Linked DNA regions of Alligator mississippiensis. The protein of the gene in region 2 interacts with the protein of the main gene of each other region in a pairwise test. Links are inferred from orthologs where the notes say so. Each region holds a gene or a part of one and is shown on either strand. Other genes may lie near its edges.

What was found. The genes of interacting proteins can lie anywhere in the genome.
Region 1: the proteins of FSD2 (region 2) and FAM107A interact in binary tests that used the Homo sapiens proteins (3 or more experiments, as listed by UniProt). The two-hybrid records come from large-scale screens. The link is inferred for Alligator mississippiensis from reciprocal best matches to the Homo sapiens genes FSD2 and FAM107A.

What each region holds. Positions count from the first base shown.
Region 1 is NC_081835.1:942,798-952,609, forward strand, and holds the start of FAM107A (actin-associated protein FAM107A), read right to left. Parts: upstream 4,478-9,812; 5' UTR 4,321-4,477; coding exon 4,242-4,320; intron 1-4,241. UniProt on the Homo sapiens protein: Stress-inducible actin-binding protein that plays a role in synaptic and cognitive functions by modulating actin filamentous (F-actin) dynamics. Mediates polymerization of globular actin to F-actin. Also binds to, stabilizes and bundles F-actin.
Region 2 is NC_081834.1:18,308,152-18,318,356, reverse strand, and holds the start of FSD2 (fibronectin type III and SPRY domain-containing protein 2), read right to left. Parts: upstream 3,894-10,205; 5' UTR 3,742-3,893; intron 1-3,741. Other genes in the region: WHAMM (WASP homolog-associated protein with actin, membranes and microtubules), read left to right, coding at 3,936-4,523, 9,512-9,685.

The sequences.
Region 1 (9,812 bases), on a different chromosome or scaffold from region 2:
GGACTAGTATTTTAATATCCACGTCTTAGAAGCCTCTAAATCAATTGGAAGAGCTGCTTTTGGCCCAAGGAGCCATCCGATATCTCAAAAGGTGCACACTAGCACCGGAAGTCCCATGCATCATTGTATGTCCCGTGTTCCTACTTCCATAACGATTCTCGGGGAACTTTAGGTGCTTTGAAGCTTTGCAGCTCTGTTGGAGGAAATCCGTTCTATTTGCAGAAGTTTTAACGGCGTGTTGGCACAGTGAGAGCCAGCCGGTCTGCCAGTGCTTGGCTTCCCAGGGGCCTTGCCAAGCTGACTGACATTTGGCCATTGTGCTAGTTTGCAGGTGTCTCAGATCAGTGCCTTTTGGATCTGATCCAAAGACTATTTGAAGCCAATGGGAGCATTTCCATTGACTTAAATGGATTTTAAATTATAGGTGTTTTCCTCTCTAGTATAAAGAGACCCTAAGGTATGCAGAGCCTACAAAGACTGTGAAGGTGAAGGCTCTGTTTATAAGTTTGAATGTCACGGCTTTACAAAAGAACCCTGATATTAGGTGCCTTTCTTGAGATGTTGCTTGGAAGAGGTGAGATTGGCAACACAACACGTAGGTGCCGGCTGTTTCATGCAGACACTGGGAAGGTGCAGTGACAAATCAGTAGGAAGCTTTTGTTTTGCTTCTAGCCTGATGTTTTGCTGGGGAGTTTTGAATGCTTTCCTATGCCCTTGGCACTTCTTAGAGCCCTGCTTGAATCTTAGGTAAGATTTTCAACCCACGTCCCTGCGTGTAAAGGTCAGAATGCGGCATGGCTAAAATGCACGGCGACTTTGGTATAATTTGAGGCTGCCAGGAGGTGATGGAGATTTGTTCTGCCTTTTGCTCTAGCACTGCAAAGGAAGCACTAATCTGGCCAGTCCTTGCCGCCTTGCATTTCCCACAGCAAGGCCCACAGAGAAGATCCTGAGCTAGTGCAAACTAACGGTGCTGTGGAAGGCACTGGGGCTGTTGACAGCTCAGAAAAAACTAAGGTTAGATCCTCACTGGAGAAACATAGTCTGTGCGCTGAAGCTGCGTTAACCTGACGTCAGAAAGCAGTGGTGTAAAAAGTCCTAGTTTCTTCCCAGCTTTGGGCCGTGCCGCTGCAATTCTGTGACCAGGAGGGTGGTCTGTCTCGTAGGAGTTCGGCAAGAATCTCGCTCGCAAGTGAGAAGCACTTGGAGTTGGGAGGCGCTCCTCTCCTCCGGAGCTCTCCAAAAGGCAGGAAACAACCCGCTCTGGAAAGCTGTTTGCATCCCTTTCCGTGGCAGTAGAGTCTGACAAGAAGCCAGGTGCAAAGCTGTCTGGTTTGTACGGTGAGAAGGGAGCAGGGCCTGGAGTCGGCATGACGTCTGAGGCGCAGTGGTGGGGCTTTGCAGGCAGATACTTTCGAAGGGTCACAGTCCACAGTGTGTGGCACAGAGCAGTCACGGAGCAGCATTAACAGGCCACTTCTGGGACAGACTCTTGGAGGCTACGTAATGCCTGCAGTGGTGTAATGCTGCTGTGGTCGTGGGCGTCACAGTTGTTACTACAGCCGCCCGAAGACAGGCAGATGCTAATTCTCATCACTGTCTCAGATGGCTCCCACCAACACCCCAGTATTATTTCTCTCCAGCCACGCTGTCTGCCAAGGAAGCAGGCTTCGGACCTTGCTGCGCACAGAGTTGGCTGCAGTCTTTCTTTGCATGTCATCACGGAGATGTGTTACCTGGCAGCCACTCCCCTCCTTGTCACTCACCCCTACACCAGGTGATTGTATCTCCGAGAAACAATAGCGCGGCCTCCAAAAGGAAGAGCAAGAATCCTTTGTATGCTTTTAATCTATAGCGTTAAATAATTCACCAAGCCTAATTCTGGCATTTATAATGTAATAGGGCCAATGTAACCTGATGTGAGCGCCCTGGGAAATGCTTCCTGAACAATCAGGTCTCTAAGGTTGAGCTGCAGACGAGCACGTGGCAGGTTCCCACAGCCGTGGTCAGGACTGAAACTCCGGAGCAGAGGGAAGAACCACGGGAACCGTGTCAGGAAGAGAAGGCAAATGCCAGTGTTACTGGAAATGGAAACGGCTCTCAGGGATTAGCAGCTTTTGTGGGAAGCCTCCAGCCACAGGTCACGTCTGACCCTTTCTCAAGCTCAGCCATAGCTGGGACTTGACCCTCTAGCAGTCCTCTCTGCCTTTGCTGGGGGTCCTTCCCCCAGTTTTACATAATGCCCATTGTTTTGGGCTTGCAGTGAGATGACAACCAGCCCAGGACAGTGTGCGCTGCACCCATCTACATGCCATGTTTTAATCTGGGCATAGAAGCAACTCTTCCCTGCAAATGTGTCGAACCCATTTTCTCATAGCAGTTTCATGGGAATTTCTCAAGGGGTGGTCCACAAAACAGAGAATTGTTCACCTTGAGTCAGAGGAGAAGAAAACAGCCTTTTCTGATGCCCACTGTCAGTAAAGGGAAGCAAGAAAATCAGGATCTTGGTATCTAGCCACGTGTTCGACCAGAGCCTGAGAGGTCTGCCTGTACGATGAAGACATCTGTGCTGGGTTAGGAACAGCGCATCCTGCACCTGTGCAGGGCGTCGGGGAAATGGCCTGTGTGCTCCCTTCCAGTTCTGTGATTTTAGGAGATCAAATAGCTTATTTCCAGGTAGGCCACTCAGCAGCTTTTAGGTGGTGCATCTTCTGGTGCCCACTAGTCTAAGCTAGTGCTGACCAATTAATCTGCTGTGGAAGCCAGAGGCGTCCCGTCCTGCTACCAAGCCTGTAAGCCCCCAGCCCCTCCTGTCCCCTGAGCTAGTTGACCAGCTTTGATCTGTAAAACCCGCGTAGAGGGGCGACTTGACCCAGCACGTCACAAAGTAATTGTGCAAGATGTAAACTGCCCACTGATGCCATCTAGATGCTGGTGGTACTTAGTGACACTCCCATTCACCTGTCTGTTCCCAATGCTGCCTATCTTTCCTGGACACATGTGGGGACGGGGCAGATTTCCCGTTCCCTGGACACGTGTGGACGGGGACGCTCAATTATTCCACTGCTCGGGGAAAGTCCACTGGAGCGAACAAGTTCCTTCTGATGAACATAGGAGCAGAATCAGCTTAGGAGCCTCTCCCAAACCGTAGTTATTGCTACTTCCAGAAAGGCAGGCCGCTGGACCTGGGATTTCACCAGCTGTGCTCACTGGCACATTTTCTCAGGAAACAAGCACTGACTGATTTTTCCACAAACCAAACAATCTTTATTTAAAATTCCTACCTCTCCTATTGCATATCAGCTAAGCCTTGAAGCCGCTTACAAAGTTATGCCTGCAGCAACATCCCTTCTGTTGTGGAAGCAGGTGAAATCCTGCGTATTAATTAACAATTTAGTTCAAAACTTCTCCGATTGTGATAGTTAAATAAACATGACGGCCTTGGATCCCACCTGCTATTAACAATTAACAAGGTGTATCAGTTGGATGCCTTTCAGACTTGTCAAACGCTGCGCAGAGAGAAACACGCCATAGTATTTTATGGTAGCAGCCAAAACAATATTGTGACTGCGGCGTCCCGAATCATTTTTTCAGGGCGTACAGGACTCCTCCCTCTAAGGTATTGCTAGGGACTACCAGTGCAACGGCTGATTTATTTTGCTAAGAAGTGACAGATGCCTAGCGATCATTTACTGCTCATAAATCATCACTTGTTTGCTCTGCTTTAACAGAGGTATGCCGAAAGAGACCCACTCTTCCAGTCACCAGTGACTGCTTTAAGGTAGCCCAGACATGTTTAAGAGAGAAGAGAGTAAGTTCCCAGCAGTTAAACAGGGCTAGCACTATCTTCTTCACTAGCACGTATCTTCTGTCCAACGCGTTCCCTTCCAAGCAGAGCACCTGAACTGCAGAGGGGAGTTGCTTACAGCGTACAGGGGCCTGGGGAACCATTTAGAAAGGCAGAAACAAAGGAGTTAAAGCCACTGAGCTACAGCAGGATTAAAGGGAAGAGACGTCTCAAAAGCGTAACTTGGAGCTGGCTGTAAAATAGTCCCAGGGTAAATGCATGCGTGGCGCAGCGTCCGCCCAGGAGAGAGGCACTCAGAAACGCTCCATCTGCTTTCGGAGGAAAGCACTGGGCAAGCACGCAGAAACCCAAAGGGAAGTTTCCTGTCGCTCAGATTTCGATGGCTGCCCGGGAGATTTCCCGGGAAGGCTTTACGAGAGACACCTGTGCTTACCTGATTTGACCAGCATTGCTCTGTACAGTCCGGTAGCTCCAGGTGGTACCCTCACCTGGTCCTCCACTCTCTGAGACATGGGGCTGAGATCTTGGGGCTTCCCAGTGTGGCTTGGGCTGAGCGAGCTGCTCCTGTCAGTGCTGTGCGAGCCTAAGTGTGCATGACTTTTGGCTGGGTACTGCTAAGCTCTCTCACTTCTGTAAGACCTTTTCAGAGGGAGCGAGAATAAACAGCCACGTGACCTGAGCCGCTGTATAGCTGCTGCCCTCCCCTGCTGACAAGCACATTCTGCTCTAACAAAACCGTTCCGCTTGGATCTGCACTAGTGCGTTACGGGGGTGTGCGGGGAGCAGCCCATGCTGCCGGGGGGGCAGTATTAACACCTTTGCAAGAGTCCGTTGCCCAGACAGTGAGCTTCCTGGGCAGTGCTGCACGCAGAGCTTACCCCCCCACCCCCACCCCTACCCCCCATTAATTGCTCAGCTCTGGGATGCTTTTCCCCCTTGAGCAAGCAGCAGCCCAGCGTGAAGGAATGAGCTGATCCTTCTCATCTGATAAAACAGCTTCCCATGTGCCAAGCGCCGGGAACAGCAGCTTGGGCAGGAACATTCGCTGCGACTCCCACACTGCGAGCAGCTGCGCTGAGCTGACGGAGGTGCACGAATCTCTGTCTGGCTTGCAGCAAGCTCCTAAATGTGCATTGAGCAGACCTACTTAGCTTACTTAGCTGGGGGGTGGCTGTGGGGGGCCTCGGTAGAAGCCGTTGTGGCTGAGCACCTCGAGTCAGGACTGCCGTGCCGTTGTGAGCCATGATACTGCAGTAGTGTCCCAGCGTGTTGATGGAGACAGCACCTTTTCCAGCCCAGTTACTATCCACAAAGCTAATAGTGCACTGGCGCTGGAGCTAGCCCTGGGGGTGGCATCCTGGGACCTTTGACCCCCAGCTCGCTAAAGGATTGCTCCCTGAGCTGTGAGACAGCAGGAGCTCAGCTGCGAGGGGCACTGCCACCCTTGCCAGCGTACTTCACGGCTAGAAAGGCTCTGGGCTCATCCATGGGGAGAGGGGCTGGGGTAGCAGCAGGGGGTGGGATGAGTCGATAGGGACGTGCGGGTACAGGAAAAGAGGGGGGGGGACAGGAGCATCGGTGTCACACGAGCACAGACAGCAAGCCTGCCTCGGGTGAGAAAGCGAGGGCGTCTCGGAGGCTGACTCAAGGACTGTGGTCTGCTGGTGTTGCTGGATTTGGTGGAGGCCACAGCCCTGCCCTGTGCTGCTGCCCGGTTCCTCTTGCCCCCACCATGCCCTTGCCCTGCAGCTACTGCCCAGGCTTCGCCCCGTCTCCCGCTCTTCCCCTCTGGGTGTAGCGCTTGCCCTGACCTCATCCCTCAGCCTTATGCTTCTGAGGCCAGACAGTCTCCAAGCCTTGCTGCATCATTTGCCACCTGGAAAAAAAGGTGGGGGAGCCATGGAGGGCTTCCCTGCTGGGGTGGCTGTGTCACGGGCTGTCTTGGCAGTGTGGGAGCTGAATGCAGCTTGCACGTGGATCTCCAGCTTGCTGCAATTGTGGCGTAATAACCGCAGGGCTGAAGTGTTGCAGCCTGCTCTGTAGGGGCCGGGACAGAGGGCCACGCTGCGGAGGAGTCCCCAGGTCCCTCCTCCTCCAGGGGCGGTGGGGAGCTCGGCCAGCCTATTCCAGGTGGAGGCGCGTGCTGTCCTCCTCCCCTGCTCACCTGCATTGGCTGGGGCAGGGTGGGGGCCCATGGCACCAGGTCCTCAGATCGCTTGTGCTGTCTCCCGGGGCCAGTCCCCAAGCAGGACAGAGGCCTCCCTGCTCCCTTTCCCTCCCCTCATGCTGCTGTACCAAGCCCCAGTGCGTTAGCCCCACTGTTGCCCGTGGTTTCAGGCTGGTCTGAAATGCCCCCAGGCTGCCCGCTGCACGTTCTCCTCCCCACCAGTGTGGGCCCAGGTTAGCAGCTGGCTAGAAACCTGGTTCTGACCCACCCCCCCAGCGCTTTGCAGCAAGGGGCAGACTCATGCAGGTAGCCCAGCGAGACGTCACGCTGCTTGGTTGAGCTGTGCAAGCCTCGCTGGCCCAGCCTGGCTGGCCCACGTCACTCACCCGAGCTGTTGGTGACATGCTTCCCATTCCCACCATGGAGCAGAGGCTGGAGGGAATATTCTTTCTGCAATGCAAAAGAGAGAGACCTGTGGTGACCGTCCTTTTGTGTGGGAGCAGGGGATGTGCTTCCTCTCCCTCTGAGCCATCCCATGCTGTGGAAGAGCCCCTGGCCTGGCCCTGCACTGCACCCTCACTCAGGTGTTGAAGAGCTACGTGTATGCCATTGCCTAGTGGTGGTGCCTGTATGTACATGTACGTGTGCACTCACACACACGTGCACTCTTACCGTACAACAGGGCTGCATCTGAAGGGCTCTTTCTCTAGGAAACGGCCGTGTTAAAGAAGGCCATCCATTGAAGTCCCACAGTGGGGTCCTGGGACCCCTGGCACATCGGCGGACCTCCACATCTACACTAGCAGTGTGCAATGGCACAGCAAGTTGTCCACTGCCAGTCGCCTTCCCAGAGTCCCACAGCAAGTCAGTGGCCGAAGCCAAGGGTCTTGGCTCCCGGGGAATTGCACTGGCCCTCAGGCCCCTTCCCTCACTGTTAAATTGTTTGCAGTATACGGCTCCAGCATCCACTGTTAACAAAGACTCTCTGATTTAAGCTTCCGTTATACAGGTCCGCTTACTGCAAGCTCAGACCATCTGCTTAAAATGTAAACTGCCCGACAGCACAGCTGAATCCATTCCCGTGTCCGTAAGCTTTCAGGTCTCTCTCGGTGCCTTGCCGGTCCTTCCTGTATTTCCTATTACCCTGTCAAGCTACTAAGTCATCAGGACTGGATTTCTGTCGTAGACTAGCTAGACACGGGGCCAGAAGAGACCTTGGAGGTCAGTCCATTGCTGTGCCCCAAGACAGGCCAGCTGCGCCTGAACCAGTTGATCCCAGTCCTAAGCTACCTCCCAGTTACAGCGCTGTTCCTAACATCTGACCTAACACTTCTTCTTTGATCATTTTGGCTGTTCTCTTCCAGACTCTTTCCAATTGGTCCACATTTTTTTGAGACCCAAAACTTCACCAGCGCTGGGGAGAGCGGAAGGATTATTTCCCAGTCTTGCACACTCTACTCCTGCTTACATGTCCTGATGCATTGTTGGGTTTTTCTTTTTTTGCAGCAACCTGGCATTATTAACTCATTTTCAGGCTGTGATCCGCTATAACCCCCGGATCCTTTTCCGGAAAGCTTCCTTCTAGCCAGTTGCTCCCCATTTTGTATTTGTGCAGCTGACTATTCCTATGCATGGGCAGCACTTTGCGTTTGTCCATTTCTCCAGTTTGTCAGGAACATTTTCTACTCTCATCCTCTCCTCCGGTGTGCCTGCAGCCCCTCCCTGCTCAGTACATTTAATGAGCATGCTCTCCAGTCTAGGATCCAACTCGGTAATGAAAATGTGGACTGGCTGGGCACAGGAGAGACCCTGCAGACCCCACTCGACAGGTCCTTGCAGTTCAGGAGTGATCCATGGATACCTTCTAGAGGCCAGTTTGGCAACCAGCTGCAGTCCCACCTAATGGAAGTGTCCTCTTGAGCACATTTTCCTGGTTTGCTTAAGAGGATATCGTGTGAGACAGTGTCAAAAGCTTTACTAAAGTTCAGATATGTCACGGTTCCTCCTTGTCACAAGGTCTGTTACCCTGTCATAGAGCGAGCCTCAGCTTGGCTTGGCAGGACGTGCTCTTGGCACATCCATGTTGGCTGTTACTTAGCCCCTGATCACTTTCTAGCTGCTTGCAAAGAGTGTTTGATTATTGCTCCAGTATCGTTTTGGGAATTGCACTTAGCCCGTCTTCCCTTTTCCACTGTTTGTGCCCCTTGCCCGGTCACCCGGCGCCTCTCCCATTCTCCGTGCGTCTCGGAGATCACGGCTATCAGCTCTGAGGTGGCTTTGACCAGCTTCCTCAGTGCCGTGGGGAGAAGGATGTCAGACCCAGCTGATTTGGAAACGTCTGTGTTTTCTAAGCAGTCGCCAATCTCCTCCTCACCCCTCGCAGCTTCAGTCCGTGTCGCCCGTGCTGATTGCATTATTAGTCTCTGGTCACACTTTCCCTTTTTAGGGAAGCCTCAAGCAAAAAAGGCATTAAACACTTTGTCCTTCTGGCCATTCTGTGTTATGAATGGTGCCTCCTCGCTGAGTCCTTGGACTTTGTCTGTCTGCTAACATGCTTGTAGGACGGCTCCTCCTCCTGCCCTCTCCTGCCCGGTCTGTGCCTTGGCCTTTCTGCTTTTGTCTCTGCAAGCTTGTGCTTTCCCTTTCTTCTCGTTCTTAGTGCCGTGGCCTGGTGTCTGCCCAAGGAGGGATGGGTGCTGTTGCCTGCCCAGCTCTCGAGGTTATCGTTGCACAGGCCACTGGGTTTGCTGAGCTCTGGATAAGCCAGTTTGCTGGGAGTTTATCAAGGGGAGCACAGCATGGTTTTAAACGTTTCATCGAATCCCCAGGGGATAGTTGCCAAGGTGGAGAGATGTGGGACCATGAAGAAACCATTATCACTGAGCACCTGCTTTGGGTAATCGGTAGGAAAACAGTGGCATTAACATACTAAATACTTTCACAGTTTGACTGTGCCTCCGGGCCCTCAGACAGCCTCACAAGACCACGTGCCCGGATGCCGCCCGAGAGCTCGTCTCCGGCGTGAGGCCACGTGCGCCGTTCTCAGGGGCAGGGATGTGCTGGCCACCCCCGTGCGAAGGCGAGCGATCCTTTTGGGGAGTGAGAGGGACAGAAAAACCTCTGTGGAGCCAGAGCGCGGCGGGGTCTTGCCCCAGACCTGTTCGGCTAGTTCGTGGCTCGAGCCACGATTCACTCTGGCTTCTCCGCGAGTCAACGATTTCAACCTGCGCTCTTAAGTCTCCGGGATTAACAAAAAGCCTTTGTATTTCTCCAGGCTCCCTGAAGGTTACTGTGTCGGTGCCGCTGGTTGCTAGGCGCTGCTTATCTGGAGCCGCTCCTTGAGACAATGCCTGGCAGGGCTTGCAAACTCCCCAGTATCCCTGACCGAGCCGGGGGGCTCCTGCGCTGCCTGCCCCGAGACAACGTGGTACAAAGACAGCCCACCCCAGGGCACTGTCACCGCTCTCGGCTGCTTTTCTCACTTCTTCTATCCCGAATTTGAAGCCGTCACCTAGGATGACATGTTCCTTATGTTGCTTCTTGTATTGGCGCAGCTCTGCAGAGGGATGTCGTGACCCAGAGCTCTCCAGGTCCGGTACTACAATAGCGGCTCCCGGGCAGCTCGGATAGAGGGAAACAAGGCTCCCATGGAGAAGCTGCCCTGCTTTGGAGCAGCAGTGGGAATGGTTGCTGAGTATTTCCATTGTGGCAGGGCTAGAGGCCATGGCGGGATCGGGGCAGGAGCTGTGCAGACACTCCCAGCCCCAAAGACCTAAGTATTGTCATAGAGTAGGAAGAAAAAGAACGGGAAGAGAAAGGAGATGTCATTACAAGACC
Region 2 (10,205 bases):
ACAATACAGAGCTGGTTTTCAAAATATAAATTATCTACTATAAAACCAGGAAAAAAAACCCAAATATTTTGTCTAGCAAATTGTAATTCAATTATGGCAATTATAACAAGTATATTTAAAAGTGTTTGGAACCCTTTAGCCTAAACAAAACTTTCTGAAGTTTGTGGTTTGCTCAACTCACAACACAGATACAATTATGGTGCAGTATGTTTAAAGTTCACAAACTTCAATCATCTAAAGCACATAACAAAGAATTGTTACTACCTAAAAACTTGCCTTCTATCTTAAGAATCCATAAATTCTTCTTATGGCCCCGATGACACCAAACTTCCCTTTTATTTCTCCTACTAAAAACTAATCAACAAGATGGCAATTTGCTGCCAGTTTCCTGTGGCTGCAGACTTATTGCAGTAATTCTAGCAGCCTCTTCCCTCAAATAGTAACATACCATCAATGAGCAAAGGCACAAATATAGCCCTGCCCCAGCTGTCCTTCAGCTTTATGCTACTTAAATGTCTCCAGAGAGAATGTCATATGCTGAAAACCTGCTTTGAAAGTTCTCAGGCATTCCCAGGCTTGAAGTACTTTAAACTATTATACAACTCCCCCTTAAAAATAGAGAACCTCTTTGTTCTCTGAACTGTTATTAAAGTAATCTGAGATGTCTTGTCACTGAATCTAGACATATTTCTAAGATTACAGTTCAAGAGCAAGCAAAAATCTCTTACCTTACATTAGGAACCTAGATTTTGCCAAACAAATTCAGATACACAAACACAAACAGTAGCACTGAACCAGCTAATGTTAAATATGGTATGTTAAATTCTTTATTCTTTATTGAGTTTAGTGGACAGCAAGATCAGATTCTAGAAAATATTATGGTTCAGGCAAGCAATGTGTCATCATCATCCTGTAGTAGAAGCCTGCATTGACTGCATTTAATAGGAGGGAGCTGATGTGAGAAAACAACCAGGTAACGTTAACAAGGTAGAGATCTGGATGCAGTGGCCAAGGAGAATCCTAGATGACAGGAGACGTCTATCTTTACAGCCATTGAGATCCTGTCATCATCTTCTGCCTGATCTGCTGTTGAGTACTTGGGGTTGGACTGTAGTTTATCTGAAACCTCCCGTCAGGCCTGTTCACCATGGGTGACCCTGCCAAAAGTGCAAGACCTAGCTCTGAGGAACAATGGGACACACAAGCTGCTCCATCTCTACAAGATCTGGGTTCATGGTATTAAATATGTTTATTTATATTAATATCAATATATGCACCTTGCAAATACCTGGAAGCTGAAAATAGCAGAGAAAATGGCTAAATGCAGAGAAAATGGCTGACTAGATAAGTGAAATGTCTTATCAAGAGAAAATGACTTTGCACTGATTAATCCCATTAAAAGACATTGCATAAATCATAATAATAATAACAATAGAGATTACAATAGCATTTTTAGGTAATGTCCAGTCAACAACACTGACATCTTAACTCGAACCCTGGCACTGATCTGCTTGCAAAGAAGCCATGAGCAAGCATTAATCACAGAAATTGAATGTATTTAAGAACATTGCAGATAACTTGCAGTTGGACAAACTGGTGAAATTCCTTCACTATTCATCCATCTCGGTGTCTGTATGAATCTTGAACAGCTGGAAGGGCCAGTGTAGTTATAACAACTTTGACAAGCTGTATTCTGTTTCACTGGACAAAAGGGAAAAGGTTCTGCTTCTTTCTTTTCCTCCTTTGATTTTTATTTCTTCCTCCCTTCAGTTTGTTTTCCTCTAAATGATGAGTTGTGGATGCAGGGACTTTTCTTGTGACCTCATGAGTGTCTCTAGCACTTGGGTGCCCATTTTAAATGGATTATGAAGATGAAAAGCATGAGCAGAACTTCAAATGGTGTAGAGCTGCCTGATTCTTTGAAGTAGTAAACAAGGACAGTAGGTCTCACAGAGGTATATTCCTTTCATTTATGTCAGTGGGGTTTTAATACTGAACATTAAAGAGGGCAGTATAAATATCATCACTGTTAACCTTTTCCGTACTAATTCCGTCAATAACATCTAGATGCTCTGGGATGGCAGACACTCTTTTTCTCATTCTGAGCACCATCCACATCACCTTTCACCCCAAAGCTGTCATTTCTAGCAGCCCCATCCCAGTAAGACCAGACTGGTGTATTTAAATACAGAAAAAGCAGCACCAAGTTCTGGCTGAATGACAAATATCATCTGTATGTTTTGCAGCAGTCTTCCATCCATCAGATAAACCTGCCAAACGACATGCTTTATAAAGCCTTACAAAGGTACGATAGAGCATACCATAACTGCTGCCTACCGGCCTATTCATTCCATAAACACATGAGGCAAGGCCTAGGCACACAGCCCAACTCTTCAGGTTTTAGGGATGACTCCATGGGATCAGTTATCTTGCAAGGTGATACCCTGCAGCAAAGGTGCATGCTTCACCTTCCCTGCCAGCAAAGGGAAGAAGGGACTGATTGAAACATAGAAGGGTTGGAAGCTGAACCAAGAAAAGGGCTAAAGACTACCGAGGAGCAGAACAGGCAATAAGAGAAAGCTATTCCCAGGAACAGTTTGGAGAGAAAGTTTTGGTTCTGTTTGCTTTTTGGACACTGATGCCAGCAGGGGTGGATTTCTGCACCTCAGTGCCCTAACTGCTGAAGGACCCTGGGGTGGGGTGAGGAGAAGGCAGGAGGATGAGGGACAGCAGGATGGCCATGCTTCAGTCATTTGTATTAGAAGCAGTAGTGGATGCATGCACTATTTCTCAGTAAATGTTCCAGTCACATAACTCCCCTCAACATAAAAGTGAAGGGCACCCATCCCTCTCCATTTCCTACGTGGATTATTTGTGCTCAAGCAATTCCTCAGGGGCTGCAGATGTTTGCTGTGCTCCCATGCTCTGCTTCTGAATTAAACCTAGGAGAACTAACCATGTTTAACAAAGTGCACAGAGGCAGGTCCCTGTGTTGGTCTCAGCAGCAGCAGCATAACTAGCACGTGGTGACTGGGGCCACTGGCCCAGGTGCCAGCACAGTGGCAGGGAAAGGGCAGAAAAATAACACTGCCCAACACAGCTGCACAACAGCACCGGTGGCACGGCAGCCACCAGACACTGCCAGTGCCCCTGTGCAACCTGCTGTCCCTGGGTGCCCGGCTGCCCTCTCACACCTCTGGGTGTCAGATCAAGTGCAAGGCTGGGCAAAGGGCAACTGGGGCAGCCCATGACTCTGAACCAGCTAGAGAGGGAGGGAGGGAGGCAGGGAGAGACAGTGTGTGTGGAAAGGGGAATTGTAGTGCTCTGTGTGGTGTGTCTAGAGGGGAATTGTAGTGCTGTGTGTGTGTGTGTGTGTGTGTGTGTCTAGAGATTTGTGGTGGTGTGTGTGGAGCAGAGGGTGGTTCTAGTACTGTGTGTGAGTGTGTAGAAAGAGGTTGAGGGGGGGTGGAGGTTATAGTGCTCTGTGTGGCAGGGTGTTTGTAGAGGGGGTTGTAGTGGTGGGAGTGTGGGTGGAGGTGTAGTGCTGTGTGTGTGTGTGTGTGTGTGTGTGTGGAGGAGATTGTAGTGGTGGGTGTGTGGGTGGAGGTGTAGTGCTGTGTGTGTGTGAAGGGGGTTGTAGGTGTGGGTGGAGGCGGGGTGTAGTGGTGTGTAGGGGGAACCCTCCAGTGCTGCGCTTTCAAGTACAACCCTCCCCCGCAGTCCACAAGCACCTGCCCTCACTCGTCACTTGCAGCAGCAGCTCCCTCTTGCCCCCTTCCTCCTGCACCTTTACGTCACTTCCGGGGGTAACTCTTTGGCTCCTCCCCCCAAGTGAAGCCACCAATGGGCAGCCTCGGCCGCGGTGACGGTGCCCAACACCCGCCAGCCCAGGCCATGTCACTTTCCCTTCCGCCGCCCCGCGGGGCGCGGGGGCAATGGCGGCGGCGGCGCAGCCCGACAGCCTGGAGGGGTGGGTGGCCGTGCGCCAGGCCGCCTTCGCCGAGCCGGAGCCGGGCGCGCTGCGCTTCCTCGTGGGCTGGAACGCGGCCGAGGCCCAGTTCGCCGTGACGTGCCACAGCCGCGCGGGCCGGGGCGGCCCGGGGCCGGGGCCGGGGCCGGGGCCGGGCGAGGCGGCGGCGGCGGCGGCGGCGGAGCGCAGCTGGGCCGGGCTGTTCTCGGCGCGGGCGCTGCTGGGCGTGCACCGGCAGCTGGCGGCGCTGAGCGCGGGCCTGGAGCCCTGCTTCCCGCCGCTGCCGCCCGCGCTGCTGGAGGGTCGCGCCCGCGGGCTGTGGGCGCTGCTGTTCGCCGCGGGCCCGGCCGAGGAGGAGGCGGCGGCCATGGACGAGCTGTGCCGCCGGCTCGAGCGCTACCTGGCGCGGGCGCTGGACCTGTGCGGCCGCCGCCTGGTGCTGGACGCGCTCTTCGCCCGCGACCCGGACTCCGCCTACTGCGAGCCGCTGGCCGAGCTGCGCCGCGCTGCCCTGCAGGCCCGCCTGGCCGCCGCCACCCAGGCGCTGCGCACGGTACGGCCGGGGCTCGGCCCAAGTCCTGGCCCCCGGGCCACGCCACCATCGGAGCCGAAGCCAGGCCCAGGCGCCCCCCACGGCCGGGACCAGGCCTGGTCTCTGCTCTGCTCCCTGCAGCCCGGAGGGGCTTTCCCCCTCCCCAGGGCAAGGGCTGCCTGTGCTTCCCTGGCCCAGGGAGAGCCTGGCTGACTGAACTCGCCTCACATAAAGTGCACAGAGGCAGTTCCCTGTGTTGGTCTCAGCAGCAGCATAACTACCGCCTGGTGACTGGGGCAGCCAGCCCAGGTGCCACCCTCAGCGCCCTGGGGAGCGCAGCCTGGTCTTCCCAGGGCTTGAGGCAACCCTCAGGCCCCCAGAGCACCTCCTGGGGTGGCAGGAGAGTGCAAGCAGCTGGGGCAGTCTGCAGGGGGAACGTGCACCCCTGGTGATAAAGCAGCAGAGTCTGTTCCTACCTTGTTGCACCGCTGATTTGCCTTTCATGCAGTACAGCAACGGGAACCGATGCCTGTTGCCTTAGTGCCTGCACTGCCACAGAAATTTTGATGGCACAAATGAGACGTTGGGCAACACTGGTTTTCACCCCTCATGTGCAAAGGAGTGGGCCATATAGCTATTTTGGTGCAAGTCCTATTCTGGCCTAATCAGGGCTACAACAAACTGGCTGGCTATTTTCACAGCCTGACAGGTTAGAAGTGACCTGGCAAAATGGAGCAAGACAGATGGCTCCACAGGTGCTTGCCTGAGGGAGAAGTGCTGGGCCTGAGGTGATCTTGGTGACTGTGGCTCAGAGGCACACTGCGCTAGGCAGCAGCAAAAACAGACTGTTGGTCTTATGTGGCCCTGAGGAGGCCAAGACACAACTCCCAACAAGACCAGATGCAGCCCAGCCAGTCACATCAAATGACAAATTGAATTAACTCTGCCTCAGAAGGATCATTGCTAATTCAAAAAAATTGTATGTAATGTGGGACATTGAGATTAGTTGTCTGTAAGATTTAGACTTGATGTAACACAAAATGTTCTGGTGTGAATCAAGCTAGTTATCTGGTTGGGTTTTTTTAGCCTAGTGGAGCTACCCTGACTCCGGACTAGTGGGGAACTACTGCTCTCCAAGCTGGCTTTCAGTGAGGGGGTGGCACTGTTGAGGCATAGCTAGAACAGCCACTGGAGCTAGAGGAAAGTGCAACCAGTCAGCGAGTGCTCCTCAGCCTGGTTACAGTGGGGGCTCCCTAGGAAATGTCAGCTCTGAGCTTATACTTGTTTTTGACTACTGAAAAATAGAGCAATTATTCTGTTGCAAAAAGCCAAGAAGCCCCCTCTCCCCACAAATCATCCTTGAGAGGATCTCAAGGCGCCCTAGGATGCCAGGACAACCCTGAGTTAGTGTTTGTCTGATCACATATTCCTTGTCTATCCAAAAACAGCAAAGTGACCATGGTTGAGTAGTGTAGACTTCTTCAGGCTTAGTAGCATGCAGTTGAAGTAGATTTCAAGTAGACAGTACACATGCATGTTTTGAGGTATTTAGCTGAAACTTTAAGACTACCAGAACTTGAGTGCTAAAAAAAAAAAAAAATACCAACCACCTATGCCGAAAGAACATCCAGTGTTGCATCTGCCAAAAACAAAATAACACAACACTCTTAATCAGTAGTACTGTAATAATTTAATCTCTTTTCTTCCCTGAAATCTGTCTTTGATGTAAAATACAGTGGTGCATTTGTATTGGTGAGGGTTTTAAATGCCTCGCTGGCTGTGGACATATGGCAAATGCTTGATTTGAGGGGGCGCAACAATCTTTTTCTGTCTAATGCAAAATTCTGGCCTAAGTGCATTATAGGTCTTTCTTCCTATACCAATAAAAGTATTTCTGGTTTAAGGGGAAAAAAAAAGCCATCTTCTGATACCTGAGCAGACCAATGAAAGCAAGAAAAGATTCTTTCCTAATTAAAGGAAATGTTGAGAGTCTGTTCCTTATTAGGTGAGGGTTAAGCAGTTGAGGTATTTTGCTTTGTAAATAATCCCCTTTAAGAGCACAGCTGCAGGTAGTCCATTGCTTTGTTAAAAACAATTAGTGGCATGACCAATTATGCTGTATCCATACAACTACTTAACAATTTAACTTCTTCAGAACAAGGGGATGGGAGGTGTTTCAGGACTACTGTACTTTTGCAGGGGGAGAATCAGCACTGGCCTAGTGCTTTACACAACCTGATACATTTCATTGTTTAAAGGGTGTAATAGGATTTAAAATTTTCCCAGAACACTATTGAAAAAGATAAGTCTATTAGAGATGATACTCAGGTTTGGTTGTTGCACTGTAATGCCTACTATAACTGGATTGCTAGAATAAGCAGGGTCAGAAGTGTGGCATCATATTAAAACATGATTTGGGTTAATTTTTCTTTTTGCAAAAGGTACCAGCAGCACCTAGAAGTATATTTCTGAACCATACATCAGCTTTGGTTTTTAGCATGCTTGGTGAAAACGTTTACAACAGCTTAGTTCTGGCAATGTGGAGACATGGCTAAAGCATCTCCTGACACAACATTACTTGTATCTTCAGGCTTTGCAAATGCTGATGAAGTAATGCCCATGAGGTAACCACCTGCATCTTAGAGGCAAGGTAGTTGAGGCACAAAAAATCACTTATTTCCCCAAGGTTGCATAGGAATTCTGAAGCAAAGGCAACTATAAAACCCATAGCTTTTGACTCAAAATTGATATAAACACAAGGGCATTCTCTTCCTATTTTTATAGCCATATAGTAAATGAAAATATTCTGCTTTGCCTTCCCAGATACCTCAGCCCATCAGAGGGGGGGAGGACAACTCAGCATGAAATAATACTATTTTCCTAAGTCAAGTTCACTGGAAAAAAACCAGCAATACCAGTAGTAGCAGTATAGTTAGTGGTGAGCTAGACTTCTAGAAAGTGAAGTGTCACAGGGAGTGGCTTACAAAATCTAAGCTGAATAAAAAACATGCTTGGGGAGAAAATTTTGCTCCTGTTACTTTCCCCAAATGTAAATGTTCTCCAGCAGGGGCATGACCACATCCCCCTCCCATGCTTTGGGACTGTGCATGAGAACCAGAAAGGAAAACCAAAGGGTTTTTTTTTCATGACATACATTTTTTCACTTGGCTCAAATAATGGGGGGAAAAAATCCAAGCTTCTCACTGCGGTGTGACCCTTGGGAGGCTTGCCTAAGTTATGGCAGAGAGAGGCAGTTACCTGTATGAGTCTGAAGTTGGGGAAAGGCAGGATAGATTTGTACCTTATAGGCTACTGAAATCAGAGATGCCTAAAGCCTTTGTAAGCTGTGGCTTGTTTTTAACAGATGCTATGATGACCCTCAGAGCATTTGATGAAGCAAGGTACTGCTTAAGAAAGCTTAGATATCTCCATTTTCATTAGTCTTTAAGGTGCAAACCTATCCTGCCTTCTCCTTAAGTTAGGGCAGCCTCCAGGGACTATCCCCCGCGAGCCATAGCACTTCCTGTAGTATAAGGCCTGGCTTCTGACATGGCCAGCATGCTTGTGAGAAAATAGTTGGAAGACAGAAGTTGCATTGTAGGTATTCTGTCCTAGCCAGACCTTAGCTTCTAAGCACCCTTTTTTCCCCAGGGTCATTTGGGAAGACAGAGTCAAAGGTCTCACCCCATTGTTTTCAATAGGAACACAGTTGAGCCCGCATTTTCCAAAGATTTCTTCTTTCCCTCCTCTGCGTAAAATCCCAGTATCCAAACCAACAACCTTTCAGGACCCTACCTCATTTCTCATGGAGCTTACCTCAGCTTAATTAGCATAAAAAGCAACATTTGTGTTTGCTGGCAAATACCACTGTCGAATTTAGCTGCTCTCAGATGAATTTGAAAAAACTCTGTCATCAGTAAATCATGGCCTCATGTCTAGTGTGGGACTAATCTGTGAAAATCTCTAGCACACTATTAAATTGTGCAAGTTTTCAAAACCTGTATGGCAGACACACAAAAAACCTCATGAGAGTGGGACCCTAGGGATTAGGTGTGATACAGACATGTATTAAAAGACAGTTTGAATATGTATGGAAGAAATAAAGGTTAAAATTCACATAATTGGTATTGTTAGGTTAGGTTCCTGTAGTATAAGAATGCCATGTATCTTTAGGATTATAACTGTAGGTTACTCTAGAACAGGGGTGGCCAATCTGAGGCATGAGTGTGACAAGTGACATGAGCAGCCTCTGCATGTGGCACACAGCAGATCGGGAAGGGGACAGGTGACAAGCAACAGATCAGGCGGAAGCACAGGCCAAGAAGCAGAAAGAAGAGCAGCAGATTGGGAAGAGGAAGTAGGGATCAGAGTAGCACTCAGGAGGGCGCAGTAATAATTTGTGGCATATCTGCAAAAAAAAAAAAAAAAAAAAGTTGCCCCTCATTGCACTAGAAGTTCAAAGGAGAAGTAGTCCAGGTCTGAAAGTCAGTGTGTTCATGCTTAGGGTCAGATTTTTGCTTATCATAGCTCATTTCTTATTACTAGGCATTTTGTAGGCCTGAGGGGAACAATGCAATAATTAGTTTTTAAAGGAATACCTTATTTGACCTACAAAGTGCATCTTTTCTGCTTACCCTGTGAATCTTCATATTTATAATGTGGACAAAATCCTCTGTGCACATCTATCAGAATTTTTACAATAAGAAGTGGTCAAGGCATCATTGTGCAGTCATTCTTCACGTGCAATATGTAGTAATTAGTGCCCTCAAGAAACTGTCATCAGTGATATTTCTTATTGGGGAATAATTGCCAATACCTGGACTACATCTCCTCATAACTGGAAGTCTTGGCTATTTCATGTAACAACAAGTGATTGGTTCTTTCTGCTGAAGTATGCCAGTGTTGTAATGTACACAAATGCAAAAGGCAATCTTTGAGAGACTGTCATGTTTTGCCCAGAAACAGAAGTACTGCAGCTGAGACTAACTCTCAAACCTTTTATCTGCTAGGTTCTTCAGCGGCATAAAAATGCTGACACAATGGTAGCTTTAATGAAGGTTTATGAAGAAGAAGATGAGGCTTACTGGGATTTAGTTACTATGGCAACACAATTCTACCAATATTTACTGCAGCCCTTTAGAGATATGAGAGAATTGGCAACGTTGTACAAGCTGGAAATCCTGGTAGGTATTCCCTTTGAGGACAAAAATCAAATCAGGTGTAGCACTGCACCTGCCCACTGGGCAGTTTTGGCCCCCAAATTGCTTAAGTGTCTTTAAGTCCCCAGATTTTGTCTTCCTTTACTCCCTCTGTCCCCAAGCCCACAAAATTTATGATTGACTTGATAAAACCCTGAAGAATTCAAAGTTACAGCTGATCTATCCTCAGAGGATGTGTAGAATCTGTGGTATACAGCTGAATAGCAGCAACTCAGCCAATGTTTTCAGTTGGCTTTTCACTAACATCTTTTTTTATTTTCTCCATCCAGTTCCTCACCCTGTTCTGCTCTCTGGAATTTTTCCCCCTGGTATTCATTCTCTGTTCACAGGGACCTGAGCCACTTATGAACATGAGATACATTAACTTTCTGAGGGATCTGTGCTTCTATATCGCATGGAAAAGCTCATCCAATGTCAATATTTTCTGTGTTGCATCAGATTGACCCTGATATTATGCCCCTGTAGTTAAGGAACACTATCATGG